4 linked regions of the Caenorhabditis elegans genome follow. The protein of the gene in region 2 interacts with the protein of the main gene of each other region in a pairwise test. Each region holds a gene or a part of one and is shown on either strand. Other genes may lie near its edges. The genes, in order: W03G1.5, pqn-71, sgt-1 and Y69H2.3.

Region 1 (7,869 bases), on a different chromosome or scaffold from region 2:
ATAAACACAAATTAATTGAAAGCGGATAAGCATTCATGAAAATATTAAAACAAACAACTTTTAAAAATCTGAAAGAATTCCTCAAGAACATAATGAGAACATTTTTCGAGCAAGGGGTAGAGACAAACATTTGTCAAAGAAGGGGGAGGTGCAGACATTTTTTCGAGCGGGGGGGGGGGACAGACAAAAGACAAACAAATTCAAAGCTATATGTGGTTATCAAAGTCAAGATAGACTGATACGGCGAGAAAATGGAAGAGCCACACAGTTGTTATTTCGCTTCACAACCACTGCATGTCCAACAATGGAATCGGCGGAAACCACGACAACTGTGTTTGTTAACGTGACACGACCTCCGAAACTCGATTTTGAAACTGAATCAACCCAGTTTTGAATATGCATTTGCGGTACATCCTCTTCATATAACTTGTTCGATATGTCAATCAAATGATCATTTGTGTTGCAGTATTTCTTCAAAATAAAACGAAGATCAGTGTTGTTTTCCTTCAACAGCATCCCAATAATCTTTGCAAATCGTACGCGAGCATATTCGATAAACGTAACATTTGAGTCATCTGTCTTTTTGTTGCAATAATTCGAATATCTGATGCCGTCGTGGTATACAACATTAAGGAAAACATCCCCGGTCTCGCAAAACTGTTGGTACTGCGGAGGGGTCGGAACAACCGATATTCGTTTGAGTCGCCTTAATAATCCAAGTTCATAGCACATTTTCAAGTTCGCTTCTGTTCGAAACTGGTGATTTGTGTGTAGACGGAATGCAGCTTCGGTTTTGATCTCTTGAAGAGCCGACATTCTGTAAAAACATTCTTGCTCCCTATTGTGCTCTAATTTTCTCACTTTCTCATGATGCTCATGCCCAGTCCATTGTAAATTTCCGGAACTAAAGTTCTTTGAATAGTGTGATAGAAGTACTCGAACCATTGAGTTGACAATGGAAATAAGCTACCGTACAGCTCAGTCATTCTTGCAAGGTGGTACAACACTTGCTGCAAAATAGTAATGGGTGTTAGTTGACGACAATTTCCATACATGTACTTTGATCCCATTCAACATTTCCGGTGCTCGTTTCACAATTAAAACTTCGATGGATTTGCTGATTTGTTCAATCTGTAAAGAATGGTCTACTTTTTTCAAGCAAAAACAATAAAAACTAACTTTCAAATGAAGAGTCTCGTCAGTGATTGATTGGGGTTCTATGCAAAGACGATAAAGTCCATGAATGCTGAGAATGATAGCCGATGATACACCTCCAAGTTCACCGGAAAATGCAGCTGCTACAACTATCGACTCGAAAATCTAAATGTGTGTTCACTTTGCAGAAATTAGCTGAACGAATCTTTTTACCAGTGCTTTCTCAGAACCAGTACACTGTGAAGCTTTGCCGGACAACGAACGAAATCGAGATGGAAGCGAAGGTGTTGATGAAAAATCCACCGATTTTGACGGGAACAAATTCCATTTCCCTTTGGAGAATAATGCTGAAAAATGAACACGTTTCGGGAGCATTCGGGCATTACTAGTGACCTGTATTGATATTGCTTAAAATTCCTTCTTCAAAACAATGAAACAAGTCAACCGGGCATAGATGCATATACAAAACATGCTTGTGGAAATGAGAATGCTGGTTTCTTTGACGAAGGCCATCGTTCATAGTCGAAGGGCACGATCCGGTGAGATTTTCGCGTACTATAAAGAGGTGATTATTTTTTTAATAATAGTTTTCATGATGCTTACGTGTTGTATACTCATCATTGATTTTGCACTCAGTTTCCTGGTTTAAGCAAAAGTTGCAAGAACCTGATGATCGGAGTCCACACTGATTGTATACGATTCGTCGTGCCTGAAACCAAACACTTGTTTTCAAAATTCTGAATTTTCATCTCACTGGATCGTCATGATTGGCACACGTGAGATCCGCTTTCCAGGCCACTCCCTCTGAGAAGAAGACATGTTCGTCCATTTGGAGCAGAATCCATTGTGTAAGTCTATCATGAATTTTCGTTGTCGGATTTTTGAACCCGATGAATAACGCTGCTAAAATGAGGGCCTGGGGAGAAGCTCGATGAACGTCTTCGAGATCCAAATTGAGTAAACTATATGGCCAAATGTTCTGACTGAAAACCAATTAAAATTTTTAGAGCCATCAAACTAAGATACTTACTTTCCATTTTTATGTACTTTGATTCCGTCGAAGCTACTCTCGAAGTGCATCCACATTTCATTATCTGCCATTTCGCTGAGTAGCTTTTTTTTAAAGATACCCTTATTTATTGGACTGGAGCTATTATATCCTTCCAAAATAGTTGTTTTAGTCTTCATCATGATATTCGCAAAACTATTCAATATAACTTCGAGCCATTTCTTGAGATCTCCGAAAATTAGTTGGCATTTCTCTTGCATATCTTCACATTTGCATCTGTAATGATATATTTCAGAAATTTAGTTTTATAATAAACCTACAGTTCGATATTCTGCGCACATAAATTACATACTTCTACAAGTGTTAGATGAGAGTCATTCAGTAGCAATTTTCTGAGAATGCTATCTTGTGAAACATTGTGAAAATGTAGATATCTCAAAATGGCTGCTTTCGAGTTGGTAGTAGTGATGAGGAAAAAAGTTGTTCTCAGATTTTGATCGCTCAGAGAACGACACAGTTGACTTCGCTCGTCGCATAGAGAAGAATCGCGTTGAGTGTCCAAATAAAATGACTCATCGGTTTCAGCTTCTTGATCGATCTCGTAATTTCCCACTTCATCGACCGGATAACGAATTTCCCCGTCTTCATCAATGAATCCTGTTGTTTCTTCGTCTTCGAGTTCATCTTCTACACCATCTTCCTTTTGTCGTTCTTCATCTGCAGTTGTTTCCGTCTCGAAGTTATCGGCCTGGGTGCTTGAATTTGATGGACCATTGCTTCCCGGCTGGTGAGAACCATGATTATTGTCCGTCGGGTCTGAAAGTAGTTATTTAGTCCCAATAAAATCATTTAAAAAATTTACCTAGAGCAACTATTGTCACGCTTTGAATCAGAAGACTCCGGGGTGCTGAATTCAAAATTCTTCGAACTGTTGTTCTTGGATTTCTGGCCATAATCCTCCGTTTCTAGCCGGGAATGATACAAATCTTTGAAAAACACACTGGAATTAACAATTAACACATATTGATAACATATCACACAAAAAATACAATAAAAAAGGTCAAAAAAATGAAATATGTGAAATACGACGAAGAAAAAACAAAATAAAATCAATAATCAATGTTCTGCTAGTTAGCAGTGGGTTTCTGCTAATTAGCAGTGCTTTTTAGCTAATTAGCAATGACCTGCTAATTAGCAGTGGTTCTCTGCTGATAAACTATGGCTTTACTAGCTTTTGCTGATTAGAAGTGATTTTCTGTCGCTCTGCCGTGACTCCAGTTTATCTGAGTTTAAAAAAACATTTTTAAAAATTGTCTAATTTTGAAACGTTATTTTGAAAAACTTGATATTTTGGTAATTAATGATGAATTCGCGATTTTATCAGTAAATGCGTAAATATACGGCAAAAAAATAATCTAAAAACTGTGAAAAGCTCGGCAAAAAGTAGGGTTGATTCCAAAAGAAAACATTTTTTTTCCGAAAGAAATTAAAACATTTTTTGCCAAAAACACGAAAAAGCTTTGTGTAATTTTAAAAATTGTGTAATTTTGAAACGTTATTTTGAAAAACTTAATATTTTGGAAAATTGTACACCTTCTCATAATTTTTTAAAAGTTGAATTTTAGTGATTTTCAGCAAAAAAAAAACGGAAAAATTGTATTTTTTGCCAAAAAAACCAGAAAACACAGAATACACAAACTAAAAAATGTATGTGCGATTTTCAAAAACTGAAAACATGCCAGAAAAACAAAAATAGCCAAAAAATCCATTTTTACCCAATAAAAATTCCCATTACCTGACCCAAAAAATAATCCATTAAAATTTCAGGTCGGAATCCGCAGAAAGCGTCTGAAAGGTGACGCGTTCATGTACAAGAAGGTGTGCGAGAAGATTCTTCAAATGGCGAAAATCGAATAATTCCTATTATAAATATTCTTGTTTTCCTTTTTCTTAAATTTTCCCCCTAATTTTCGCCCAAATTCTCGTCTTCCTGGGTTTTTGTGTGTGTGTGTAGAATATCAATCCCGTTATCATTATTCTTATTATTATTATTCTTATTTTCTATTGTTCCAAGTTGTTTTCGAAACTGTTTTTTTCGAATTTTTCCCAATCGTGTAATATTTTTTGAATATTCCTCTCTCCTCTCTACTAATCCCTCGAATTTAAGTTTTTGTTTCGTATGCTCTTCTTATCCAATGATACCCCGCCTTTTTTTGGTATGAATGATCAAGATCTCTTTCAAAAGTTGTTTTCCCGCCAGCCACAAATAATCCTTTCCCCCCCCCCCCCAAAAAAAAACACGTGCTTTCTCCACTACACTAGTGAGGTTGCGCAAGTGTTCAGCGCCAAAAACTCTAACTCGTATTTGCTCTAGCCGTCTTACTCTCACAGTGACTCCACCCATTTTGCCGCTGATCTCACGAAAAACAAGTGGCCGAGTATAAAAAGCGAGAGCGGATGCAGTTATTTTGTCATATTGAGTCGCTACTGATGGCTCACGGACATCATCATCACCACCGCCGCGAGCGCCCGGGGCGCGAAGTTTATTTCAAACTTACTGCTAAAGATTCGAAACAGGCTCATCTATTCTCTATCAAGTATGAGAAGGTCGCCGGATTGCTCGAGAAGCTCAAGAAGAAGCTCGCCGAGTTCAAGGTCGACTTTGCCAACATTTTCTGGATCGATCGGGAGAAGGATCAGATTTTCCTGCAGACAGCCGAGGATCTGAAGGAGGCGATCAAGTTCTCGAGGTTTGTGGTGAAGCTGTACGCTGAGGGAACTGGTGAGAAGGATCTGAAGGGTCTGAAGAAGGATCTGAAGAGCGAAGACGATGAGGATGATCGTCGCAGCAGCAGCTCCTCATTCTCGAAGGTGTCTCATGGAAGATCGGAATCCGAGTCGTCTTCGTCAGGATCGGAAAGCAGCGATGACGAAAATGATCGCAAGAAGAAAGGTGAGCGTTCTGGAAGTTCCTCTTCTTCTTCTGGATCTTCCCGATCTCCATCTCGTGGAAGACGTGGAGGACGTGGTGGCCGCTCAGGATCCAGCTCGTCATCATCATCTTCTGAATCACGATCTCCCGGAAGACATGAGGAGCCCGAGAAGCAAGGAAAGAAAGAAGAGTTGAAGCAGCTGAAGAAGCAAAAGTCCGAAGGTGTTGAGCATCGTGGAAGATCGGGGTCACCGGGAGGACGTCGTGGACACGGTGGACGCCATGGATCCCGTTCTGGATCTCCAGGAGGTCGTCATGGTCATGGAGGCCACGGAGGACATGGATCACGCTCCGGATCTCCAGGTGGTCGTCATGGTCACGGAGGCTCAGGGCATCATCGTGGAGGTCGTCATGGAGGCCACGGAAGGCATGGATCGTGCTCCGGATCTCCACGAGGTCGTCATGGTCATGGAGGCCACGGAGGACATGGATCACGCTCCGGATCTCCAGGTGGTCGTCATGGTCACGGAGGCTCAGGGCATCATCGTGGAGGTCGTCATGGAGGCCACGGAAGGCATGGATCCCGCTCCGGATCTCCAGGAGGTCGTCATGGTCACGGAGGACGCCACGGCCCACCACATTGTCCAGGACGCCATGGAAGACATGGATCCCGTTCCCACTCTCCTAGAGGACACGGGCACGGAGGACGTCACGGGCCACCACACTGCCCAGGGCGTCATGGACACCACGGACCACCACACCATCATCACCATGATGGACGTTCTCCATCTCGTCACGGCCACCACCACCATCATCATCATGGATGCCGTCCATTCCCACCGCATCATGGACATCATCACTTTCCACCATTCTGGCCACCATGCCCACCACCACCACCATTCTGGCCTCCACATCGTCGTGGCGGTCACTGCCATCACCATCATCATAATGGACATCGTTCGTTCTCCCCATAAACTCTTAATTCTGATGCTTATTATACTGTGCATAATGTATATTTATTTGTGATCAATAAAGTTGTAAATAAATAAATAAAAAAATCGTGTTATGTTTTTTGTTTTTTTTTCAGATTTTCAGGTGAAATAAAAAAAAGAGAACATTGATTCTTCCAGGAAGGCAATTGCCTAGGCAACTGAACAAACATGAGTTCCTTTCCGTCTGTTTTTTTCCAATTTCCACCAGACTCCTAGGCTTCCCCAAAAGGCCAACTGATCGCTTCCAAAAGGCGAAGACATCTCGACCACTTTCTGTTGATCGACGAACAATTTGAGAGAGAGAGAGAGAGAGAGAGAGGAATTGACACAATGAGTGTGTAGTTTGCTTTTGTTTGAGACACGCAGAGTTTGTAGTATTCGGTGTGGTTTATGCTTTAGAGGTTGCAAAATATGAAATCGGAGTAATGGAAAATTGAAATATGACGAATTGACTAAAGTGAAGTTGGATGTTGGTTGCTATTTATTAGTAACAAATTTCGATATGAAGATGTTAATTTAGTGGCAGTGTTATATAAATTTCAGTCTACTTCGTAGGTTCAAAATTGTTTGCATGTGTACCTAGCAGACAAACATCGGTCAAACGTACTTGTAATAATGCTGTAATACTGGTGTTCCAAGGCTTTTTTCGACAGAAAAAATGTTTTCTGAAAATGTTCGAAACCATTAAAAAATTGAAAAAGGACACTTTTTAGTGTTCGGAAATCAATTTTGAGTCTTCTAACAACAAAATTAACCATTTTAGAGGAGTTTCAAAATTGTGAATTTTAACAACATAAATAGCCCAATTTTGGTACCTTTTAATAGTTTTTGATGGGTTAAACCAAGATTTTCTGAATTCAGCATACCTGAATTACCAGTTTTCAACAAATTTAGACAACTTTTTATTTATTTTTTCCTTTTTTTTTTCAGCCATCCTTTTTTTTGGTCAAAAATTGTTTTTCTGAAACTCTTCGAAACCAATATTCTGAAAAAGAACAATTTTTAGTGTTGTTGAGTGAATTTTTAGGGAATTTTGTAGAAAAAAACTGAAAAAAACTTTTAAACAAATTTGACCGTGGTAGAGTTGAACTGTAATTTGGATGCTAACTCAAAAACGAAATGATTTTTAAAAACTATGCATATGAAAATTTAAAGCCGAAGTTTCTCAATCTACTAATATTGTTAAACTTACCATCATTTTTATCAGATTTTTATGGTGCAGTAAAACATTTGTAACAAGCTTTTGAACATCGGACTTCTATTCCAATTACTTGTTTGAGCTTCGATTTTTCTAGCTTTGTTTACCCGTTGCATAATCTGTGCTCATGTTATATGAGATACATATACATGTTACTACTCGGCAGTTTGCTACTCCTGGCGCGCGCACGTTTCGCAGCGGGCGCGCCGACGGAGCGCGCTAGTAATAATGTCTCGAACGCCCGGCGCACTCTCTGCGCGCGCCCCGCGCATTTGATACAAATTTTGTCACGGCTCGTTCCCCATCCCTTCATTATTTTATCAAATACATTGGCAATGTGGAATACTGAGTATATTTAGATTTAACTTTATTATAGTGAAAAGCTTTAAAAATTTAAAAACTTCAAAATTAAAAATTTTTCCGTTGTGCAGCAAGTTCTCTTCTTCCTTTGTTGGAGTTCCTGAAGTTCTTTTGATGGATCTGAAAAATAAAAAAGTTAATTTCACTCATTGAAACATTTTTCATGTTCATTTGAAAAAGAAAAAAAAAACTTACAGGAATCAGGGAAATTAAACAACTCCGA
Region 2 (7,850 bases):
TCTGACTCGGAGGATTCCGGTCCAATAGTTTCCGATTCCGTTGAAGAGGGTTTCAATGGATTCTTTATCTGTGAACCTGGTGATCCAGGAATCTGAGATTTCTCTGAAGAATGTGGGGAATCGGTTGCCTTGCTGATATCCTCTAGCGGTTCGTCATCTTCTTCGTCAGAACTTGAACCTAGATATATTGGTCGGATGGTTTTAAGATCGTTGAATGGATTTTTGGTCATCTCGAATGGAGTTGTCTCTTTCCCATTTTCGTTAGAAGACGGAGTGGTGTCGGATGAACTTGTTGATCCTGGGCTTTTAGAAGGAGTAGAGCTTTCCGTGTTTCTACCAAACGGAGTTGTAACTTCAGAGCTTCCAGTCTCTACATCTCTAGTGTAGTCGGCGTCATTAGGCAGTCTAGGCTTGGAAGAAGTTCCAATTCCACCACTAAGCTCTTGAGGTCCTGGGCGGATGGTTGGATTTACAGTTTTTCCATTTCCATTTTCAAAATCCCGAGTTGATGATCTAGGCCTTTCTGAGGGAGATGTAGATGGCTGTTCATAGGATTCCGTGTTGCTCGAAGTAGTGGAGACTGTTGAATCCGGATAGGAATTTGAAGACGGGGACACCTGAGTCTGTCCTCCATATGGATTTGGGGGCTCGTAAGGTATAGTAGTGGTGATAGGGTTGGCAGAGGGACTGTGAGCGACGGTTCCTGAAAAATTCTTTCAATTATTTTAGCTCGCTTCTTCCTTAAATACCTGTATACGTTTCCGGATTGACCGACGGTTCCATTGGCTTCTCGGTTGTCACAGTTGGTCCATACAGGCCATAGCTTCCTGTTGAAACTGGCACGGGCGGTCCAGCGGGTCCCGGATAATACGGGTACGCTCCAGTAGTTTGTCCTGGCGTGTCTGGAATCCATATCATCTGCACTGGATACTGCTGCCAATTTGGTGGCAATGGAGGTAATCCCTTTGGAAATTGGCCCTTGTTTGGAGAATTCTCATAGTAACTGGTTTGAGGGCTGCCGGGTTTTGGTTGAGGGCCAACCCAAGCGAATGGTCGGAAGCTTCCACCAGATGTTAGTTGATGTGGAGGAACTTGTTGATATGAGATCTTTGGAGATGGTAACGGTGGAAGACGTTGACGAGGTGGACGGTATTCCGGAATCGAGACCTGCTCGGGACGTGTGTAGTAGTTCGGTTGAGCACGCTGGAATAGAAAAAGTTTATGTATTTTTACTTCAAATATAGAAGTGTTTGATTTGAGAAATAATGTTTTGAACAAATCATTACAGATATTTAAGAGACCTCAAAACTTCGCGGAAATTGAGAAACGTTGGAAAACTTCTACAAAGACATTTTTGGAAATTTTTTGGTTACTTAACTTGGTATATATAGGGTTCTTGACGACTTTTGGAAGTTTTTCAAACTGTCTTACTCAATCGAAAAATTACCAGGTTTTCTACCGGTGCCTGAACATTGTCGAAACCGAATTTCAAAAGCTTCAAAAGTTTTTAAATTTTGACACCTTCCGTGTAAGACAATTTATGACGTCACTGCTCTTAAGAGTTTTAACCACAATTACTGTTTTTTGAGTGAAAATGTGTGACCAGTAAGGCATGAGCAGCTGTTCCAAGTTGTTTGAATTAAAATACTTTTAAAATTAAAAAAAACTGGATTTCTCGGTATCCCTTTAAATCTTATAGTTAGTCCCCCTGTTTTAAAATTCAATATACCAAAAATGTTTAGTTCAACACACGAGCCTCAGCTGGAGCGTTTTATTTTTCAATTAAAGTTTTACGAATGCTACTATTTCACGAGAGAAACCAGAATTTACAAAAACAATTTCTGAAAAAAAAACTCACCTTCGCCAAATTCGAGTGTCCCTTTAAAACTTCGAGATTCGCATTTGGATTCGGCTCAGAGACGGGCGTCTTCCATACGGGCTTAACCGCAATAATCGGCCCAAAAACCGCGAAAATCACGGGGAAACATGAGAGTAAGGGCCTCATCAGGCCCACGTTTTAGGCCTCTAGTTTTTGTCCGAGATTTAGGAAAACAATACGGGAGAAAACAAGAACAACAGGGAGGCAAAGAAGTGAGGAAACGGGTGAGGGGGGAGAATGGACATTCCAACATTATTAGATCGATTTAAGCGATATCGTCTGGTTATGATCGACGGAAATCCCTTTTGAATAGACGCTTTTTAAGGAGGGGAAACAGAAATGAAAACTGAGAAAATCGGGAATGAGGGAAAGTGACGGCAGGAAATGAGACTAAATTGGTCATCGATGTGTTGAAATTCTGGATTTTTTTTCGGTTTTGAAAATCTGCTGAATAGAAGATATTTTATTTGAAACAACACAGTTCAGTTATGTTATCGAGAAAAAAAATTACTGAATATAAACTTTACACTAGAAAGATGAAATTAAACATTTTTGCGTCAAATTTTCAATTAAAAATAATTGAAAACTAAACTTTAAAGCCGTTGTAACACCTTATACAGCAATTTTTTATGCAAAATTTTTCACAAATATTTGTTCAATTAATACATATTTATGTTTGAAAACATTAAAATTTTCCATGCCAACTAGATGTACTAGTTGACCACCAGGCGCGCCTCTCGATTCTCTCCCGATTCCGTTTTCTAAAGACCAATTCTAACACCGCCGCCGTGGCCTCCTTAGCTCAGTTGGTAGAGCGTGAGACTTTTAATCTTAAGGTCAGGGGTTCGAGTCCCCTAGGTGGCTTGATTTTTTTGTTTTTTTTTTCATTGTTGAAAAATTGTTTCTTTCTCAATTTTTTTCAAAAGGAATGGGCCGAACCGGGGATTGAACCCGGGACCTCTCGCACCCAAAGCGAGAATCATACCACTAGACCATTCGGCCACGAGAGACATGCTTCACGGAGGTATACACAATTGAGAGGAACAGAGATAGCGCTGGCCAGAGGAGAGTGTAATGCAAATAAACGATTATGGGGAATGAATAATAAATTGAGAATTTAATTCTGTTTTACTTCAAACTTATATATTTATTTCAAAAATAACTGAACAAACATGAATAACTCTGATTAAGAACCAGTTTTCCTCCATCATGCTCAACAAACAAACAAAAGATAAGTTGATTTATCGGGTCAATGAAAAATGCAAACATTGTAAACTTTTGATTAGGATTTTCAAGAAAAAAAAACGTGTCTAACTAGAAACAAAAGTGTAGGTTGGTAAACAACATGAAAAAGTATAAAAGTGGCAAGAATTACACGGGGTATACTCACAGAATCCCATTGAGCGATGCGTTGTGTGATTATATTGTTTGCAGTTGCTTTGGCTGTGGCTCAGGTTAGTTTTTCAATTTTAAACTAATTGTAAGGAATTTGAAAATTTATAATTTCTAAGTGCTGAGAGAAAGCCTAATAATTGTATTTTCTTTTCGCAATTTCGTGTTAACAAAACTACTTGAAATGTGAATTGGCGCTTTAACGACTGTTTTTGAACCTCTTCGAATTTCAATTTTCGACATCATTAACTGAAAAATCTCCTTTTTTAGAGTAATATCTGTATTCCCGTATATGGAAGTAGACCGACCCTGTTTTAATGTGGGCCGATAAAAATCTCGTAGTGACGTTTAAAATTGATAGAAGCATTCCAATTAACGACGTGTTTCTCAACTCAATTTGATTTCAGGCCTCCTCAATCCGCGAAACCCGTCAAGCCTCCTGCGGATGTGCTCAATCGGTTCAGCCGACCTGCTCCTGCCAGCAGGCCTCACAACAATACAGCTGCTCCTGCCAACCTTCAACTCCATGCTCTTGCGCCAGCAGCCAGCAATATCAATTGCAGACGTCTCAATGCATGCCTGCTTGTCAACAGTCCTGCAGTCAACAGTGCCAATCTAACACCAACACTCAATGCCAGCCAACGTGTCAGCAATCCTGCCAGACATCGTCTTGCAATCCGATGACTTCCACACCAATTCCAGCGTCGCAAAGTTGTCTTCCAGAGTGTGAGAACCGATGCATGCAGCAGTGTACTCAACAGCAGACCGCGCAACAGTGCCAGCCAATTTGTCAGCAGCAGTGCCAGCAGGAATGTGGGTCCACAGGAAATATGATGTACAATAATCAGGATCCGTATAATCAAATGCAGTATGGAGGGTACAATCAGCAAGGAAATCAGTACCAGAACCAAAATCAGTACCAAAATCCAAACCAGATCCAAAATCAGTACAACCAGAACCAGTACCAAAACCAAAACTACTACAACCCTTACCAACAAACTCAATGCCAACAACAATGTGCTCCACAATGCTCTCAACAAACTTCCACCAACTGCCAGCAGTGTCAGAACTCCTGCCAGAACAGCAACACTCAAACCATAACCATCTACGTGCAAGCCTCCCCACAGACCTCCCAATGTGTTCCCCAGTGCCAGCAACAATGCCAACAGCAGTGCCAAACTAGAACCACGGCCTCCCAACAGTGTGCTCCAGCTTGCTCGACATCCTGCAATCAATCCTGTAATCAGCCGGCCCAAATGGCATGTCAACCAATGCAAAATAGTCAGTGCGGATGTCAACAAAACTATTCGCCGTGCGGAAATGTCTCCGGGCAGTGTTGTTTGAAGAAGTAAAATTCTTGAAGATTGTATTTCTGTAAATCTAGGAAATGATGAATAAATGTTTCTCACTACCAGTTTTTTTGTTAAATGGGTCCTTTCAAAAGTGCTGAAGCTAATAAATTTGGTACCTGGTATTCACACAACATTTTTTGTTGAATGGAAAAAAGGTGGATGTACCTTTAAAGAGTACTGTAGTTTCGAGCTCTGTTTTTCAGGAATAATCATTTCGAGACCCGGAAAAACAATTAGAAATATTAAGAAAACTATTGTTGTATTGAAATTATGTTGATAAGATTTTATAGAAGATGACCGAAAATGTTTTAAAATTTATAATTGATTAGTATTTTTCGAATTTTTGTTTTCAGAATCAAGGAAAAATCGAAAACTCGACCCACTTGGTCCCTGTTGTTTGTTCTGCTACTACGTAGTAGTTGAGTGAGAGCAAGAAGAGGTGAAAAGTGCATTGAGAAAAAGAGACAAAAAGTTACCCCTTCAAATGCATATCGCTACATATATATAAATAGATGTCCAACTTTTTTCGCACTTTTCAATGAAAAGAAGGGGAAAGTTTATTAGTAATTTTTTTGAATTTTGAAATGTATATTTTTAGGTAGGAAATTTTCGATTTTTTAAATGAAAATTTCAAATTATTTTTTGCTTTTAAAACTATTTTTTGCAATTTTTCTGTTACATAGACTTCGAATTGAGAGCGACATATTTTTCTGAAATTTACATAAATTATTCATCAACAAGTAGCTTTTCATATTTTCAAGACATCTACATAATTGTTTCGAAAACAAAATCCCAAAAAAAAGTACACCTTTCAAAAAATGTGACGGGGCCTTTTCTTTGTCTTACAATGTGTTTTGTTCTCGTTTACTCAATTAGTGAAAGTCAATGACTTGTTGAGACTCTGCAACTAGTCACAATACTTTTCCGCGTTTCACCGAATTTCTATGAGCGGAGCAAAATTGAGTTTTTACTTTTGAATGTGTGCCGGGTGATTTTGGACTTTTTTTTCTGGGGATAAATATTTCAGCACTTTACTTATTTCTCGTAAATTCGAAGGAATTTCCAATTTTTCGCGAAATTCGAGTCTTTAAATTTTAATGTCCCGCAAAAAAATGGAGCAATCAACTCCCAGTTAAGCTGAATTTTAGTTGTTTTTTATGTAGTTGTTTCCCTCCAAAAAAGCGTCCACTCCCACCCATTTCCCCAATTTGTTCAGCAGAACTTTTTTTGTTTCTCCTCTCTCAAATGGTGGTCCGTCTTTTCAAAAATTCCCATAAATCGTTTTGCAGAACCCCGGGGTGTTTTTGTGAAAAACTAGAATTCGAGTGACTTTTTCAAGTAGTTCTGGTAAGAGGATAACGGAGGGACAAGGAAATAAATTTGAAGGGGAGCAGCACACTTGAATTGAAACTTTTGGAATTTAAACTAAATAAGAAGACAACGAATTCGTATTCTATGAGAGAGATCAAGCTTTTGAATATAAAAAACTAGTTCTTGAATAAGTTGCTCCGTTTTTTGGGGCATTTTTTGAATTGTAAAAAAATTTAAAAATCCGAAAAGTTTCGTGTTTCGCTGTTCAAAGTGACCTCCCTTCTGTTTTTCTTATTGAATACTCTCAGATTATTTATTTTCCAGATTATTTAAATTCAAACTGTGACACTTTTTCGATTTTTTTTGTCGACCTCACCTATTCTAGTGCCAATTCCAAATTCTTCCTTGTCCTTTTTTGGGAATACAAAAACATTTTAATGGTTATTTTGGCAAACATATTTGAAAAGAACATGTCAACCAATTCTTGAAGTCGTTGACATTTTTATGCATTTTTCTCCATCCTTTTACATATTTTTCTTCCATTTCCTTCTTGAACCAATTTCTAACTCCATCTTGACATGGTCTGCCAAATCTTAACCAAACAAATGTTTACGCAAATCATTTGGGTTTTCAGATAAATTATTTTTGATTTGATTTTTCAATTTTGTAAAAAAAAAGTGAATATTTAAATTCCCGCCCGAATGTGCCTACGCTCTCCGCTATCCGATTTTTCGATGTTTTCAGAATATTTCAATTCTTCTTGAACATTTTTTTTGAAAAGTACCTCAAAATTGTTTTGAATTTTTATTCGCATCTATGAAAGTTGATAGAGAAATGCATATTTTCAAAACATTTCTCGACTTTTCAAATTTTAGTTTTCAGCAATAATTACTATTCCGAAACTCTGATTTTTTCCAGCTGAAACCCAAAATTTCCAAAAATTTTGGAACATATACAAATTTATTTTATGGCCCTCATACATTCTCGGATCCCATTAAAATGTTCCCCCATAAATTTTTCCCACAACATTTTGTTTCACTGTCTGTACCTCTTCCGTCTCTTTTTTCATCAACCTTCTTTTTCAACTTTTATCTTTTATCTTATCATCTTACACCTAGCTTCCATTCTCTTTCTCTCGGGGATATACGTCTGCTCTTTCATCCCCAAAATTTCTTTCTATTTTCCTACTTTATATCAAAACTCCTTATCTCATTTCCTTTTTTTTCTATTTGCTCATATCCAAATGATGGAACATCAAATTTTCTGACTTCAAGTGTGATGAGAAAATCTTGAGCCAAAAAAAAAAGAAGAGTTCCCGGAAAACTTGGAAAACAACTTCTTATTTTTTCAATTAAGTATTCAGAATTTTTGAATCTTGAACGACGAGCTTGCAGTCTACTAGAAAATTCCAGATATTTTCGATTTTTTCAAGCTTCAAGTTTAGTTTTATTTTATTATTCTGACGGGATTCATAAGTCAATTTATTTATTGAAAAAAGATCTTTGTAGAAAAATTTTTTTTTTTTGGAAATTTCTACTTTTAAAACAATTTTTCAATTTTCAGACTTTTACAATATTTTATCAAAAACGATATTTTGAACCGTTTTTTTTTCAATTAAATGCGTTGAAAGTGTATTTTCCGTATATAAAAAACTTTTTTACCAATTACGAATTTAATAAACTTTCGAATTGTTTAAATTTAAAAAAATTTTATGTTGAGTTTTTTTTTGATGACTCAAAACGTTTTGCAAAAAAATTTAAAAGAAAACCCCCAGATTTTTATTTAATTTTAAGCAATTTAAAGTGCATCTCCAGAAGTTGAAATGCAATTCAATCTTCAATCTCATTCAAACATAAATAAACATCTGTGAGGATTTGAGTGTTCAATCCGTCTTCTGTCTCACTTCTTTCTCTAGT
Region 3 (7,931 bases), on a different chromosome or scaffold from region 2:
TCGTTCGCTTTGGAGCTAGAATAGTGATAGAGCGGAGTAAAGTGTGACAAGGTAAGCAAATAGAACACTCTCTTTCTCACAAACACCTACAAAATTTGGTTTTTTTCAATTTTTAACTGAACAAGATAGATGATGTATACTATTTATGTGATCTTAGATTATATCGACCTTAAAAATTGCACTTTTAGGTTATTGATGAGAAATTTCTTACTTTTCAAACAGAAAATTGGATGAATCAGAGATTATATCAACAATTAGCTTTTTGGGTGTTGATCAGACAGCAGTGTAAAAAATCTTTAGCAAAAGTTAAATTCGAAGAAAAAAAAGCGACAAGATCCGATTCTCTACCAATCGAGACGAGAAATGAAAAGGTCACAGTGATGATGACATGACTTTACACCGAAAAACAGATGAGACAACCTCAACGGGGTAAACGACTACAGAGAAAAGATTGAAGATGAAGATGAAATGGGTCAGTTAATTTCTGTTTTCAAAAAAAAACAACACAAATAAATTGAACGGCGCTCTTACAATATACGCTGAGGGGGAACACAAAACAAAAAAATAAATGGTGGAAAATCGCCTCCAAACCCAGTGCAACGAGGGAGAAAGATTGGAAGAAAAAACATAGAAGAGGCAAAAAGAATGCGAAATAGCAGAAGAAGATTAGCCGGAGACGGACGGACGGACGGGTGGACGAATGGACAGCCGAACTGATGAGAAGAGGAAACTCAAACAATGTGGGTGAAGGAGATGGAAGAATGAGGAGATGGAGGCATTATTTTTGGTAGAGTTCTAGCTATAAAAGTGGGCAAGGTCATACATTTTAAAGTATCTGTGATGAAGTTGCAAACGGCTGCAAGTCAAGGGAGAATCCTTATGACAAAGATGAACTTTTTCTCACTTGAAAAGTAGAATTACAAAAATGATTTAGGGTTTCCACTTGAATTTTCTCCAAAATGAGAAACCACGCCAGCTAATTTTTTTTTGGCATTTTAAAGCAAAAACTACGGTATGGGACTATAAACAAAATTCTAATTACACTTTTTCAAAATTATGAAGTGCCAAGTCGTTTGGGGATGCGAAAACCCCAGAGAAGATGGTCCACAGAGTCCATCAAAACATTCACAACTTTTCCACATGACTCTTGAAACTTTTTATTTTGAAATCCGAACCCTTGAGGTGTCATCATGACGTAAATAATAATTCGGCGATGGATGGAGATATGAAAAAATGAAGAAAGTTAAGAAAACGGAGAGAGGGACAGTTGGCAACATTCGACCACCTGTTCACTTTTCTAAATTGTTTTCATTTTCTTCTTGGTCTTCGCTTTTTCCTCTTTGCACTTTTTGCCCAATAGAAAAGGATCTAGATAACTCAACTTTCAGTTCACAAACGAAAGAAAAACAAAATCGAGAATTCAGAATTATTATTCATCTTTTTATGAATCTATGATTATTTGTCAGATGGTCAAATGTCATTCAACGCCAATAAAAAGCATTTTTACAGGACAAAGACTCGTTGTATGTAATACAAAAGTCATTTAAAATTGAAATAAAATAGATAACATCAATGTTAAAAGTCTTCACATTTTCAGAAAACTAATCTCGTGTTTAAATTTTCAAATCCAACTAAATCCCAATCAGACTAAAAGGATGTTTTTGAGCTTTGACTCACCATTATCCGAAAATGTTACTTTCATCTCGTGGGGAAAAGTAGAAAAGAAATTATTAATAATTTGCACAGATATCCAAATTTAGAAACGAATTATAGCCTTGAGCAGGTGCAGAATTGCTTTTTTGGTTATTTTCTAAAACTCTAAGCCGATTTGTAATGATCGGATGTTTGGAGATTGAAAAATCTGGAGTCAATAAGCAAATATGTGTTTGTTTAAACATTAAAAACATATGTGAAGAAAAAAAGAGCGTTTTTCTTCTGCCAAAAGGTGAACGAGCCGGAAATAGTGATTTTCTTCCAATTTCGTAGAGCAATTTACGTCACAATGACGAGGGACACACAAAAACAAGAAAAGAAACGGAAATTTACCTTTTTTGAGTCCGGCAGGCGGTTGAGAGTGTGGAGTCGCAGGTTTAGCTCCAAATGACCAAGAAACCTGGAAAAATGAGATTTAGAGGCTATTTTTAGAATTATTGCGGTGAAAAGCGGAAATTTTTAATTTTAGTTTGCAATTTTTCCTCAAAAATACATTTCTGTGAAATACGAACAAGTGTGCGCTTTAAAGTTAATTTATTTCATAGTTTTTTTGCGAAAAAATGTTTCTTATACCAAAAATAACAATATAAACACATAAATATTAACGAATCGTGAGAAAAAGTAGAAAAAATTGATAAAAAATTCTGCAGGAGCGAGAGATTGAAAATACTGTACTTTTTAAAGGCGCACACTTGTTTGTTATCTACGAAACACTGTCGTGTCGATACCGAGAACCGCATTTACGGGTGTGCGCCTTTAAAAATTACTGTAACTTAAAACTTTTGTGGTATTTTTATCGACTTTTCATGGTTTTTATGTCTTCATATCGTTTTTTTTTGATAATTTTTATTAAAAAAACAAATATATTACCTGCTGTGGTGCACGAACAGTTCTTGTTGATGACGTGCTGGCATGATCTTTGCGAGATCTCTCGCTCTTCAGACATCCACGACTTGAAGAGGAACCGTCAGTTTCAGCCCCGGTTTTGTCTGAAAAAAATAAATTATTGATTTTTATTCAATCTGAATGAAAAATTCGAATTCTTACCATCATTATCCAGTGAAACATCAGATTCGTCAGAAGTGTTATCGAAGAGTCGTCGCGCAGGAGCATCTGGCACATTAACGCCATTATTTGCTGGGTTTCCAAAATTTGAAGATGATGGAATGTCTTTGTTCTGTTCTTCCGATTGAGACATGTTGTAGAATGGTGGAAGACGAAGAAGATGATAAGAGTGACAGTTTAATTACTGAAAATGTGCGAAATTTTATATAGTTTTATTTATTTAGGAAACAGATAGTGAAAGTTTGGGAGGAGTTGAACAGTATAAAATAAGAATGACAGGCAGAATGGCTGGGTAAATATTATTCAAATACAAGTATTTTCAAAATTCCGCAAATTTGAACAAGTTTTCATTTAAAAAACACATTTCGAACGGAAAATTTGGGTAAAAGAAAGCTTGGAACATAGTGAAAAAGGACTTTGCGAACAAATAAATTAAAATTTGCTTGATTTCAATTTGTTTTTTTCATTTTTTACAGAAACAACAAATTTCACAGCAGCGTTCTCCTGACTATCACACTTTTTTTTTGAAACAAAAACGAATAAAACAAGCTTGAAATAAAACTTTTGGTACCCAGACGTCTCTGGCCCCAAAAAATTTAAGTTGACGGGTGTCGACAGAGGGAAATGAGTGGCTTTTGGAAGGAGACCTGGGGCCACCAGTCAGCTTCTCGCTTCTTTTTTTTTCTCTAGCACTCTCTCAACTTTACAATACACTCTACGCGCTGCTGCAACTTTTCTGTCAAGTTGTCTGCCGTCTCTTCAGTTGAACTTGGTTTACTTTCGTGGCGAGACACATCAAAGTGACGGCCGACATGTGCCTTTGAGGCTGATGAAATTATTCCCGCAATTTCCAGAAATTTTTGCACTGATTCTGAAATAAAATGACGTTGCAATCTTTAATTTTACTCTTCGTTGTTCAAAAACTTTTCAATTTTATTCTCGTTACAATATTTCACTCTTCATTGACCAAATTTCGCAAATAGAGCGCTTAAATTCAGATTTTAAGTTAAGCATTTAAAATTAATACTCTTTTTTTTTAATAATAATAATAATTTATTACGCTCGCTGGGAGACGTGAAGGAATATAGAATACAAAAGTTATCATTGTTCGCTCGAACTAGAATTGGTGCAGTCGGGCAATCGTTTCCATTCCATTAGAATGTTGTCCTTGTCCTTGCGTTGTCCTTGCGTAGACTCCCCCATAGTGGGCGAGCGATTCCCGAGTGAAAATAATCACGGAATGCCATTTTTAAGCGATGCCATTTTCTATTTCTTGAACTATATATTTTTAAGAATATTTTAATCTGCGCTTTATCATGGATTTTCAATTCAACTTTATATTACTTTTCTAACTTCAATATAAAATTATTTAATAAATATATTTTTATTTTTAAGAAAATGTCCGAGGAGATCAAGCCTTCTGCTCCAGATGCGCCGACTGCTTCGCCAATTGTGACCAGAGACGAGCAAAATTTGGTTGTCTCATTCCTTCAGTTTATCCGCCAGAAGGTTTCACAAAATCAGGCCACTGCCGAGCAAGCGGAAGCTCTTGAAGGTTTTTTCCTATTTATTTCTATAAATTTAGCTTAAGATATATTAAAATTTCAGTTGCAATTCAATGTCTCGAACACTCGTTTGGTCTTGATGATGCCTCATACGCTTTCCAACCATCACGCCCAATTCTCGAACTTTTCAAGAGCGCCGAAGGACTTCCAGAGGGAGAATCTGCTCTTCCAACACCGAGCGATAGTGATATTTCTCAAGCTAACAAGCTTAAAGAAGAAGGAAACGATTTAATGAAAGCCTCCCAATTTGAAGCTGCTGTTCAAAAGTACAATGCCGCCATCAAGCTCAACAGAGATCCAGTCTACTTCTGTAACCGCGCTGCTGCTTATTGCCGCCTGGAACAATATGATTTGGCCATCCAAGATTGTCGTACAGCTCTTGCCCTTGATCCATCTTACTCAAAAGCTTGGGGAAGAATGGGTCTTGCATATTCTTGCCAAAACAGATATGAGCATGCCGCTGAGGCATACAAGAAGGCTTTGGAGCTTGAACCAAATCAAGAGAGTTACAAGAATAATTTGAAAATTGCTGAAGACAAATTGAAGGAGCTGGAAAGCTCGCGACCGGCACCAGGTGCCAATCCATTGGCTGGGCTTTTGGGAGCCATGGGAGGAGGACCGGGAGGAATGCCGGCTATGCCAGGAATGCCAAACATGCAAAACCTTATGAACGAGCCAGGACTTATGCAAGCTGCTTCACAGATGATGAGCGATCCAGCACTTTCTGATATGGTAAGTATCAAATTTTCGGGAATAAAAGATTTAATTGAAATGGCAATGCACGTGGCCGTCAAAATTAATTGTTTTTCATTATTATTGCTTGTTTTTTGATGATGTATGCTCTAAAATATTGAATTTTTCAGTTCAACAACATGATGTCTGGAAATGGATCAATCGCTGATTTGATGGCTGCTGGCCAGCAAATGGCTGCTCGCATGCAAGAGACCAATCCAGAACTTATTGAAAATCTTCGACGCCAATTCGGCCCCGGAGCCGATGGAGGAGCACCACCACCAAACCCACCACAATAGATAATCTCTTCCGCCAATCTCCTTCCGCATCACGAATTTCCATTTCGTTATCTCTCTCTCTCTCTCTTTCCCCTTCTCTCGTCTTTACTTTCTGCTCTCATGTGATTTGAAAAAGCCGAAGTCGCTTATGGTTACTCGTTTTTTTTAGTTTCTCTCGCAGAATTTCCCCTTACAATGATGATGTTATAATCGCCCCCGATTCAAGCCTTATCGAAATATTGTTTTTAATTAGATGGTCATGTTTTAACTACCAACAAAAAATTGGGTCAATTTTCTTTTTTTTCACGAATAATAAATATTGTCGAAATATTCTTTCCATCACAGACACACTGGTTGCAAACGCGCTCCAACACGAAATTATCGATTTGCACCCAAACGAAAGATAGCGCGGGAGTACTCACATTTTCTTTATTTTTGATTTTTTTGTTGAAATATTTTAGTATTAAATTAAACAATTTAAATTGTAAAAAACCTCAAATTTGAAAATAAATTCAGAATGCAACGCCACGAAAGGATTCGATTTTTCATAACTGAACAATGTCGTAATCTGGATCCAACGTATAGAAATTATGTAGGAATTTAATTTTCTGTCAATCTAAATTCTTTTAAAAGTTATTTTCAGATGTACCCGAAACAAATTCTTCTCGGTGACGTTCCTCTACCACTTCTCCCTAATTCTTCACTGACGTTTCGAGTCAATTCAGCTGTAAGTAGAAAATTTATTGCGTGACGAGCATTATTGTGTTTTAAAAACTCTAAAAATGATCAAATAAATTTAATTTTTTTTAGGAAAAAATCTGCTTCCGTATTCGACTTTCGATTGATGACAGCCAGGAACCATTGAATATTGGAATTCCATTATCACAAGTTGAAAGTGTTTCAATTAAAGATCATAGTGCGAAACATCCAGAACCTGCTCTTCTTTTTTTACTTAAGAAAGGAGCTTTAGAGAGATTTATTCAGGTACACTATAATTTTTTCGATTTTCGCACGACAAATTTTTGTAAAATGAAAGAAGGTGTGCGCCTTTGAAAAGAGTACTGTAATTTCAAATTCTCGTTTATGCAGAATTTTTATCGATTTCCATAGATTTTCACTAACAACTTGTGTTTGAAAAAACACATGAACTCGTCAATTCACTGCAAAAAAATTCGAAAAAATTGAAGATTCCGTAGCAACGAAAGTTTGAAGTTACAGTATTATTTAAAGGCGCACACCAGTTTTCACTTAACGGACAATTTTCGTGTCGAGACCAGACCCCGTATAAAACGAATTATTTCAGGTCTGTAATCCACTATTGGGCGAACTTCACACATATCATGGACGAAAACGTAAAATGCTGACATATCTAACAGTAATTCTCGGAATGGATCCACACTTGGAGCAACCGAATCCAGTTTATTGCCGTGTTTCATTAATGGCTAACAAATTCACATTCCCATTTGGAACAGCGAAGAAAATTTTATTAAAAGATGTGAGTTTTGATTTACCGCGTTTTCTAAAAAAAACACCAACAAAAACGTTTTTTCCCGGGGAAAAAAGACGAAAAATGAGTTTTATTCATCTGAAAATACATGAAAAATTAGATTTTTTAAATTAAAGATTTCCCAAAAAAATTATCAGAAAATTTCCAATTTTTCCATAAGAAAACGCAAAGATGTATATTTTTCAACTAAAATATTGCGATTTTTCCAAGAAAAAAAACTATTAAAAATAAATACAATCCAATTTTCCAGTTACCAATAATGTGGCAAGAAGTCTTGGATAAACAATACGATCGTCGTCTGAAAACTGGAATTCATCATGATAGAGAACGAATGGCAGAGATGGATGATGAAGCATGGGATTGGCTTATGTCATTTCTAAATGTTAAATGGGACAAATGTCCCAGTGGTGGACGTTGGTTCGTTAGAGATAAGGATGGTACGTTTTTTTTTTGCTCCGAAAACATTAATAGCCAGTTGTGAAATTCGGTGATTTCGAATAAAAATACGGTACTCGGTCTCAACACGACTAGAACTTAAAAGCTACCGTACCCAGAAGTATTTTGCAATTTCCTAAAATGTGGCAATATTAATTTTTTCATAGAAATACCAAGTTTTTTTAGCACTATAAATCTTGAAAAATTTAAGGAAAAATTGTGGAATACTTGTGAGTTTTGTAGCTGCAAAGTTTCTTGAAAATCGAAAAATTAAAACTACCATAACTACAATGCAATCTAATTTCAGAACTCGAAACTTCAGTCAACGAGCATAATGAGTAAGTTTCCTATATTTTACAACTAAAATTAACTCTGAATTTCCAGAAATCTTGCAATCAAACGAGAAGCTTCACCACAAGATGATCTACTGGCTAAACCAATGAAGCAAATAAAATATTCCGATTCAGATGTTGGTTCTCCAAATTCTATATCTTCGGAATCTTCAGCTTCTATTATGACACGATAAAACACTCGTTTAAAAATCATTTGTTTTCAACCCCGCTAGAACACTTTTTACTATCAGTTTTCCATCTAATTCTTCACCAAAAAATCAAAAATCGATACTCACAGCTGCTC
Region 4 (8,589 bases), 3.2 Mb from region 2:
GGACTAAAAATTTAAAATTCTTGGGCTAAAATTCCTAAAAACTCACTGTTAATGTCAGAGCCATTGCCTGGGAACAGTGGGGACGGGGTGTCCGAATAATCTGAAAATTTTCAGACTTTTTCAGCCTGAAATTTCAAAAGTTCTCAACAAAAAAATCAACAAAAAGATAGTGAAAATATAAATTTTTTATTAGACTGGAATGTTCAACCAAAGAATAGAAACAGAAAAAAATATCGATTTTTACAGAAAATCCCCCGGAAAATATTTAAATTTTCAAATTTTAGTAAAGCTTTGGCTTCTGGGCGTCACAATCGTTTTGGGTGACACATTTGCCGGAATTGTCGCGGAAAAAGCCCTCCTGGCAGACACAGCCGCCGCCGGTGCACACCTGGGGGCAGAATCTCTGGAAATTTTCGGTTGTAGGTTGGAAATCCAAAATTTTTGAGTTAGGCAAGCTGAGAGCTTTCGAAAAAGTATAATTATGACTGGATTTTGAGCCCCTTGAAAAAATTGGAAAATTGCGAAAACAAAATTTCCAAAAACAATTTTTTTTGCAGAACCTAGTCATGTTTATACTTATTTGAAAGCTTCTGATTCGTTGATTTCAAAAAATTTTTCAAAAACTAATTTTGCTCAAATCCCGCCCACTTACCGGCTCTTCATTACACTTGGTGTCTGAGCAGACAGTCTTGCAGGGTTCAAACTTCTCATTTGATCTGCACCGTCTGTTGATTGGCTTTTTGATAGGAGCTTCACATTGTGCAATCGGGTCGCTGAAACAATAATTTAGTGGAAAGAAGCGGGGAATTTGATCTACCATGGTTGCGTGAAGCATTGAACCTGGTGGAGGACACATTGGGATCCGACGAGGCAGGACGTGGAGGCGCAAGCTGGAAATTTTACGGATTTTCTAGCGTCGGACACTTCCAAGGTATCTATATTCAGATGCTTCAAGGATAGAGAAAGCAGCCGACACATCGCAGGTCCGCAGGACCATGTTAAGTTGCAGCGCCCGACATATCGTGGCTCTCAGTCACCTACCATTCACATGAATACACATCGGCATGAGCTCACAACCCTTCTCCACAGTTGAACCAATACATCCACTTGGCCTGACCATAGCGCACCCGGCCGGGGTCCCACAACGGGCCGTCATACAGCTTGGCCCGGCCTGACGGCGCTCACGGGGCTGGATAAGAGGCTTGATGAGTCTCAAGTCCTTTGGACGGCATGTTGGGATTGGGTTACTGAAATTGAAACTTTTTTTCTGCAACAAAAAAAAATTCCGGACTAAAGCCCTACCATGGAGCCCGGATACACGTGACCTGGACTAAAACGCATTCCTCGTTGTAGGGACAGTTCTGGGCGCGGCAATCTGAAAATTTCGACGATTTTAACTGAATTTTTTTCTGCCTAAAAACTCACAGTCCTCCTCCAAACACTGTGGCTGACGCTTGCAACCCACGCATCCGACGGGCTCAACCATTCCACAACCTCCCTTGAATCCGCATCTGACGTTGGCGCACGTGATCCCGGTTGGTGGGGTCTCTGGCGCGGTTCTCACTTTAATTTTTTGGGTGTTAGAAAACTCAAGGATAGGAATAAAAGTACTGAAAATCTAGCCGAATTCAACAGAAAGTTCCCGATTTCCCCAAATCCTAAAGCGATACCTGGTACACAAGTCGGCTTGCCAGTTGACATGGAGCATTGGTGACCGGTACGGCAGTCCACCAAGTTGCATGGGTTCTCGTCAGTGCTGCCTGGAAACAATTTATATGTTAGAGTCGGAAAATTCGTATATTTTGAGTCGCAGGGTATGCACCAGGATTGCGTCAAGTCATTACGTCGTTGCATCATGATTTTGGCATGAAAACAAGCTAAAATCCCGATTTTTGCGTCAAAAACAACCCCAAACCTTCAAAATTGATTCAAAAATGTGCCGAAAGTTGGCAGATTTGTTGAAACTCGCACGTTAAACCAAAATGTGTGCCAAAAAAACGTTTTCGTCAAAAAACTGCCAAAAAGTATGTCAAAAGCCAATATCCCCATAAAATTGGTCCAAAACTGTCCCAAAATGTGAAAATCGTTCCGAAAATCCACAAATTTGTCAAAATTCCATCCAAGTCCATTTCAGGACACCAAATTCTCAGAATTTTAGCAAAGAACCGCACCAAACCAGCGCCCGCGGACAGAAAAAATGATACCTGGCACACAAGTTGCCTGGCCAGTTGACATGGTGCATCGGTGACCGGGCTTGCAGAGTACCAAGGCACATGGGTTTGTGTCAGTCTTGCCTGGAAACCACATTTGTAGGGGAAAATCAAAAAATTCTGCTCAAAACTGCCCCAAAATAGGAAAATTGCTCCGGATTTGTCGAAAAAAGGGGTCAAGTCGTTTTTTGCACCGAAATTTTGGTCCAAAAACTAAAACTTTTGTTGAAAGGCCTAGATTTACATCAATTTTGATGCAAACCTGCTCATAATCGCAAAATTGTTCTAAAAATCAACAGCGGAGTCAAAAATGCCGCAAAAATTCGTTTCAAGACACCAAACTTGCTAAAACTCTCTAAAACTGAGCTCAGCTCAATTTTCTTAGATATTTTCATCAAAACTTTGCCAGAAGCCTATTTAACATGACTTTTTGCCCGAAAATTCACTCGAGACCCCTAAAGCCACTAGAACTAGGCTTCAGCCCTACTAACCAGTCGGTGGGCACTCTGCAAGCTTCACACACTGTCCCTGCCGGTTCCTAACGAGTCCCTTCTTGCAAGAGCATGCTTTTTCGCACCTCATCATGCACCTAACAAATGGCTGTGGATTGACAGGACATTTTGCCTCGGAGCACGAATTGTGACAGTCATTGGGCTCCTCATTCTTGGAGCAAGTCAGTGTGGAGCCTAGAATCACTGGCTCTAACTAGTTTCCTTTAAAACGGTACCCACCAGTAGCCGGACACTCGGTAGGGTTCACACACTGTCCCTGGCGGTTCCGGAGGAATCCCTTTTTGCAGGAACATCCGATGTCGCATTTCTCCATACAGTTTACCAGTGGCTGGGGCTTAACCGGACACTTTTTCTCGAAGCACGCGTTGTGACACTGGTTGGGCTCCTCGTTGGTTCCGCAGGTTTGAGAGCCTGGAAAGTTGCAGTGCGGTGGCGCAATTCTGGTGCATTTTTTCGTCCAATTTTTAGAGTACTTACCAATCGCTGGGCACTCGGCCTCCTTGACACACACTCCTTGGTTGTTTCTGACGAATCCGTCCATGCAGGAGCATCCGACTTGGCAGGCCATCAAGCAGTTCACCTGTGGAGCATTCTTTTGTGGGCACTTCTTCTCGGTGCATGGGTTGTGGCACTCGTTGGATACCTCGTTGACTGGGCATGTGAGGTTGGTGGCTGGAAATTGGTGGGGGGTTAGAGGGGTTTGGGGTCGGGGGTCTTGGTTTGGAGGCTTTAGGATGCCTGGTAGGTTTGTGCTTGGCACCCTTGAAGTCTGGCGCTGGTACCCACGATCTGGGCTCGGTACCCCAAGCTCTGAGCTTGGTACCCATGAACTCTGGGCCTGTGACCCATTAACTCTGGGCTTGTTACCCTTGAAGTCTGGCACTGGTACCCACGATCTGGGCTCGGTACCGTGGAGCTCTGGGCTTGTTACCGTGGAGCTCAAGGCTTGGTATTCTTTAACTCTGGGTCCGGCAGTCCCCGAGCTCTGGGCCAGGTACCCACGAAATCTGGGCCTGGAACCCATGAACTCTGTGGCTGGGGACCCTGAACTGTGGAGCTGGTATCCCTGAACTCTGGGCTGGGGACCTCTGAACTTTGGGCCTGGCACCCCTGAACTCTGGGCCTAAGATCCATGAACTCTGGGGGCTGGTACCTGGGTCTAGATACCCGTTTCGAACTCCGGGCCAGTGTCTGTAGGGCCTGAGATGCCTTAGAGAATGGGCCTTGTCAGGAAGATCTGATTTTCAAGCGGACCCCGCGCTCCAAAACATCAGATTCCAGGACTCCGTGTGCAGCCCGGCCCAAAATTTAGTCTTTCGGTATCCCCAAAATTTGGGGCAGGTACCCCCGAACTCTGGGCCTGGGACCCTTGAACTCTGGGCTTGGCGCCCACAAAGTCAGGAGGCTGATACCCCCAAGCTCTGGGTCTAGATACCCGTTTCGAACTCCGGGCCATTGTCTGTAGGGCCAGTGCGGCCTTAGAGATTGGGCCTTGTCTGGAAACTCTGATGTACTAGCGGACCCAAAATTTCAGATTCCGAGACTGCGTAGCCCGGCCCAAATTTTAGTCTGTGTCCCCTTCTAACCTGGTGGTGGAATTGGAATCGTCTCATTCGCCGCAACATTGCAGTCCTTCTGCTCAACACAACGATTATCCGAAGTTCTGCGGAAGAATCCACTGTTACACTGACATCCCATGACGCATTGCAGTGTGCAAAAAGTCTGCAAAAACCACGTTGTAAGCCGGAATTTGACAACAAAATCTGCTCACCGGAGTCGGAAGCCCGCAAGTCGGCTCGCAAGCCGTGCCACACGTCTGGAAGCTCTCGTTTTCTTTGCATTCTTGGTCTGAAAGGGGTTTAGGTACACTTTTAGGTTGGAAAAACTTACCTCTTGTCGCTGAAAGTTGAGCGTTTGCTCCGATGAGCAGAACGCTGAGCAGCACAATATACTGCATCGCTCCGAAACTCGGAAACTCTGGAAAACTATAAAATCACGCCATTTTATAGCATTTTTATGCGAACCAAAACATAAAGTTTCAGGAAAAACATTATAATAAAAAAACCAGAAAATCGAGAAATCAGACATCAAAAGTGCGGAAAACATTATGTTTTGAGAGAGAAAAGGAGAAAGTAAACAAAAAAAAATGTCTGTGTTTTGATGATTTTTGGGGTCAAAAGATTGGAAATTTTGCAGAAATTGCTGGGAAAAAATGGGGAGTTTAAAGAAAAACAACATTCGAAGTTACAGAAAACTTGAAAACAATATGCAAATATTGCAAAAAAACATGGAATTTTCGGGAAAAAACTATTGTTCAAAGTAAATATTTTTTGATATGTTTTCAAGTTTAAATATGTAGTTTGAACTGTTTTTTCCAAAAAAAAATTATAGAAAAAATCTATGAATTTCAGACAATTTTACATAGGAAAAATCAACTTTTCAGATATTTTTACATAGGAAATTGGAAATTTACGGCATTTTTTATATAGACAAATCAAATTTTGAGACATTATTTTACAGGAAACTCAAAATTTCAAATATTTTTACACTGAAAATTCGAAATTTCAGGAATTTTTACATAGGAAATTCAGAATTTCTGCCATTTTTCTACTGGAAAATCACTTTTTTCAGAAATTTTTTATATAAAAAAATTCAAAATTTGAGACATGTTTCGACTGAAAAATGTATTTTTCCGGTATTTTGAACTGTGAAATTCAGGATTTCGGCCACTTTTAAATGAATAAATGGAAATTTTAGACATTTTTACATAGAAAATTTGAAAGTTCAAACGTTTTTTTTACAGGAAAATCAATTTTCTAGACATTTTTAAACATGAAATCTGAAACTTCAAGAATTTTTTATATAGGAAGTTCAAATTTTTTACGTTTTTGTACTAAAAAATTCAAAATTTCCGGCATTTTCTGCTAGAAAATCAATTTTTCAGATATTTTCACATGAGAAATTCAATATTTCAGATTTCTATACAAAAAATTTGAAATTTAGGACATTTTATACTGGAAAATCATATTTTTAGGATATTTTTTCATAACAGTTTGAAATTTCATGCATTTTTACATAGAAAATTTGAAATTTCTGCCATTTTTCTACTGGAATATCACTTTTTCAAACATTTTTACATAAGAAATGTGAAATGTTTAGAGATTTTTATATAGGAAATTCGAAATTTCAGAAATTTTTTACATATAAAAATCGATTTTTCAGACGTTTTTCTACAGGAAAATCAGTTTTTCAGATATTTTTGTATAGGAAATTTGAAATTTCTGCAAGTTTTTGAAAATCATTTGAGAACTCTGCGTCTAAATTCCCGCAATTCTTGTAGATCTGGGGGGTAGATCAAACCGAAATGGGACAGCATGGGCAGTTTCACTACAAACTACAAACTACACTTGAGTACTAAAATTATACGACTAAATGACGAGACAAAATCAATATTTCGAACCAACAAAAAAATAAACGAAAATCTAACGAAATTCACAAAGTTGTAGTGGATTTTTGGATTAAATGAACACGCGCGAGTTGACTAGAAAAAACGGAAATTGAAGGGTTAATCCCCCAACCCGCCAAATCTTTTATTTTTTGATCTCCCACACATTTTTTACACGTTTTTTTTTGTAAATGATGTGTGGAGATTGGGATTTGTAGGGGGGTTTGGCGGGAAAATTGAATTTTCTGATAGAAAATTTGAGAAAAATGTAAAATTTTCGAGAAAATGGGGTTTTGGGACTACTTTTGGAGAAAAAACCGGCAAAAAAACTGAAAATTTGGCGGTTTTTGGCAGAATTTATTGTTTTTTGGATGTTTCGGGTTATAGGAAATGAAAAGTTCAATAGAAAAACTGAAATTTCTGACATTTTGCAATTAGAAAATTAAAATTTCAGACGTTTTTACATTGGTAATTGGAAATTTCAGACATTTTTGAATAGGAAAATTCTAATTTCAACCATTTTTATGAAGGAATTTTTAAATTTTTCTACAAAATTTTCGTTTGAAATCGACTATTTTTTGCCAAATTTAGCACTTTTTGAAGGTCAAAAACTCGATTTTCTCATCAAATTTTCTATGATTTTATATATTTAGAAGCGTAAATATTTGCACTGTGTCACCATTTGTTTATATGATTTCATGTGAAAAAGCTGGCTGAAATCAAAGATGAAAAGCTGATTAAATAAACATTTTCTGCAAGAAATTTGGGATTTTTGATGTTAATTTTGAAAAATATTGTATTGGCGGGGTTTGGCTCTTTTTGTGGTGAGACCCTTGGAAAATGTTTTGGCGGGAAATTCAAACTTTCTGAGAAATAATACTTTGGTGGGAAATTCAATTTTTCTGAAAAAAAAAATTTTTGGTGAAAATTTTTTTTGGCGGAAAATTCAAATTTTCTGAGAAAATTTTTTTTGGCGGAAATTCAAATTTTTGGAGAAAAATAATTTGGCGGAAAATTCAAATTTTCTGAGAAAAATTTTTTTGGCGGAAATTCAAATTTTTGGAGAAAATATTTTTGGCGGGAAATTCAAAATGGATTGTTTCTAGAGGGAGTTGGTCAGTCGGAGTAAAAAGGAAAATATGCAGTTTGGACAGTTTTCAAATAGAATTCTAAAATTTCAGACATTTTTAAATTGGAATTTAGAAAAAGCTGAGTTTTTTACACTAGAAACCTGTAATTCACTTTATTTTTTTTCGTTTATTTTATTTAGATTTTTTCAATTTTCATTTCCTATGTTTTCCAGGAATTTCAAAAATTTTCTAGAAGGAAATTTGGAATTTCCTGCTTTTTTATAAAGTTAGTTCAAATTTACAGACATTTTAGATAGGAAATTAGAAAATTTTGACATTTTTCAATAGGAAATAAGAAATTTCAATAAATTTACGTAGGATAATTACGTAGGAAATTTAAATTTCCAGACTTTTTAATATGAAAAAATTACGATAAAAACTTCAGATATTTTACATAGTAAATTTAAAATTTTGGAAACTTTAACACAGGAAAATTAAAAAATTCTAATTTCAGGCACTTTAAGATGAGAAATTTAAAATTTCAGACAGTTTTTATAAGGAAAACCAAAACTTGAAAATTTGGGTTTTTGGACAATTTTACACAGGAAATTGAAAATTTCAGACATTTTAACAAAAGAAAAACAAAAAATCCGGCCTTTTATATATAAAAAGTTCGAAAAACCGTAGTAAAAATTAGAACACAAAATACCAAAATCTGCACATTTTATACCCAAATATCAGGTCAAATTCGTCATTATTTTCTTTTGAATTTTCGCATTTTTTTGAAGCCCAACCCACTCGGCCTTGAACTGAACTACGGGTGGTACTCGGCGAAACTACCGAAAGATCAAAAGTAAATGGGTGTAGTGATGACAATAATAATTGACCGAACAAACTTCATCGGTTATGTCTGCTGCTGTGAGAACAAAGAGTACGGGGCTGACTGGATATATGACTCATGAAACATTGTGTGACGTTGGTAGCTAAACAGAGTTCACTAGAAAATGAAGTATGTTTTTCTAAACAAACCAGTTCCTAACTGGTGGAATTTGGTAAAAATAAAAAATTTTGAAAAAAATTTTTTTTTTGAAATTTCGAAAAAAAATTTTTTTGAATATTTTTGTAAATTTTCAACCTGGCCTTATTATGTAAAATTTTCAGGGTTGTTGAGTATATTTTCAATAAAAACCCAATAGTCAACCGCCAAAATTTGGCTGTTTTTAGAGAGTGAGCAATTTGTGTTGTCGATTTCTGTTAGGCTGGTTTTTTTTGGACATTTTGGCCTTTTTTTAGCTATAAATGGACGAAAATTAAATGACATATAGTTTTACAAGTCAAAATAATAGTAAAAC

What was found.
Region 1: the proteins of pqn-71 (region 2) and W03G1.5 interact in a two-hybrid assay, tested with the Caenorhabditis elegans proteins (2 studies listed by BioGRID).
Region 3: the proteins of pqn-71 (region 2) and sgt-1 interact in a two-hybrid assay, tested with the Caenorhabditis elegans proteins (3 studies listed by BioGRID).
Region 4: the proteins of pqn-71 (region 2) and Y69H2.3 interact in a two-hybrid assay, tested with the Caenorhabditis elegans proteins (one study listed by BioGRID).

The regions. Positions count from the first base shown.
Region 1 is NC_003282.8:503,270-511,138, reverse strand, and holds W03G1.5 (PB1 domain-containing protein), read left to right. Parts: upstream 1-4,654; coding exon 4,655-6,070; downstream 6,071-7,869. Other genes in the region: pig-1 (Maternal embryonic leucine zipper kinase), read left to right, coding at 3,992-4,081.
Region 2 is NC_003283.11:15,462,416-15,470,265, forward strand, and holds pqn-71 (Prion-like-(Q/N-rich)-domain-bearing protein), read left to right. Parts: upstream 1-3,261; 5' UTR 3,262-3,285; coding exon 3,286-3,333; intron 3,334-3,678; coding exon 3,679-4,623; 3' UTR 4,624-4,685; downstream 4,686-7,850. Other genes in the region: rocf-1 (ZP domain-containing protein), read right to left, coding at 1-703, 750-1,203, 1,859-2,005.
Region 3 is NC_003280.10:4,900,039-4,907,969, reverse strand, and holds sgt-1 (SGTA homodimerization domain-containing protein), read left to right. Parts: upstream 1-4,173; 5' UTR 4,174-4,176; coding exon 4,177-4,333; intron 4,334-4,386; coding exon 4,387-5,075; intron 5,076-5,206; coding exon 5,207-5,374; 3' UTR 5,375-5,682; downstream 5,683-7,931. Other genes in the region: btbd-10 (BTB domain-containing protein), read right to left, coding at 2,047-2,113, 2,584-2,702, 2,761-2,911; R05F9.9 (MSP domain-containing protein), read left to right, coding at 5,871-5,945, 5,997-6,080, 6,164-6,337, 6,657-6,848, 7,111-7,297, 7,603-7,633, 7,680-7,821.
Region 4 is NC_003283.11:18,659,418-18,668,006, forward strand, and holds the start of Y69H2.3 (Follistatin-like domain-containing protein), read right to left. Parts: upstream 4,710-8,589; 5' UTR 4,680-4,709; coding exon 4,613-4,679; intron 4,571-4,612; coding exon 4,494-4,570; intron 4,445-4,493; coding exon 4,309-4,444; intron 3,395-4,308; coding exon 3,200-3,394; intron 3,134-3,199; coding exon 2,942-3,133; intron 2,897-2,941; coding exon 2,702-2,896; intron 2,295-2,701; coding exon 2,205-2,294; intron 1,761-2,204; coding exon 1,671-1,760; intron 1,564-1,670; coding exon of another isoform or gene 1,426-1,563; intron 1,376-1,425; coding exon of another isoform or gene 1,303-1,375; intron 1,248-1,302; coding exon of another isoform or gene 1,042-1,247; intron 891-1,041; coding exon of another isoform or gene 818-890; intron 774-817; coding exon of another isoform or gene 653-773; intron 404-652; coding exon of another isoform or gene 281-403; exon of another isoform or gene 170-280; intron 101-169; coding exon 47-100; intron 4-46; coding exon 1-3.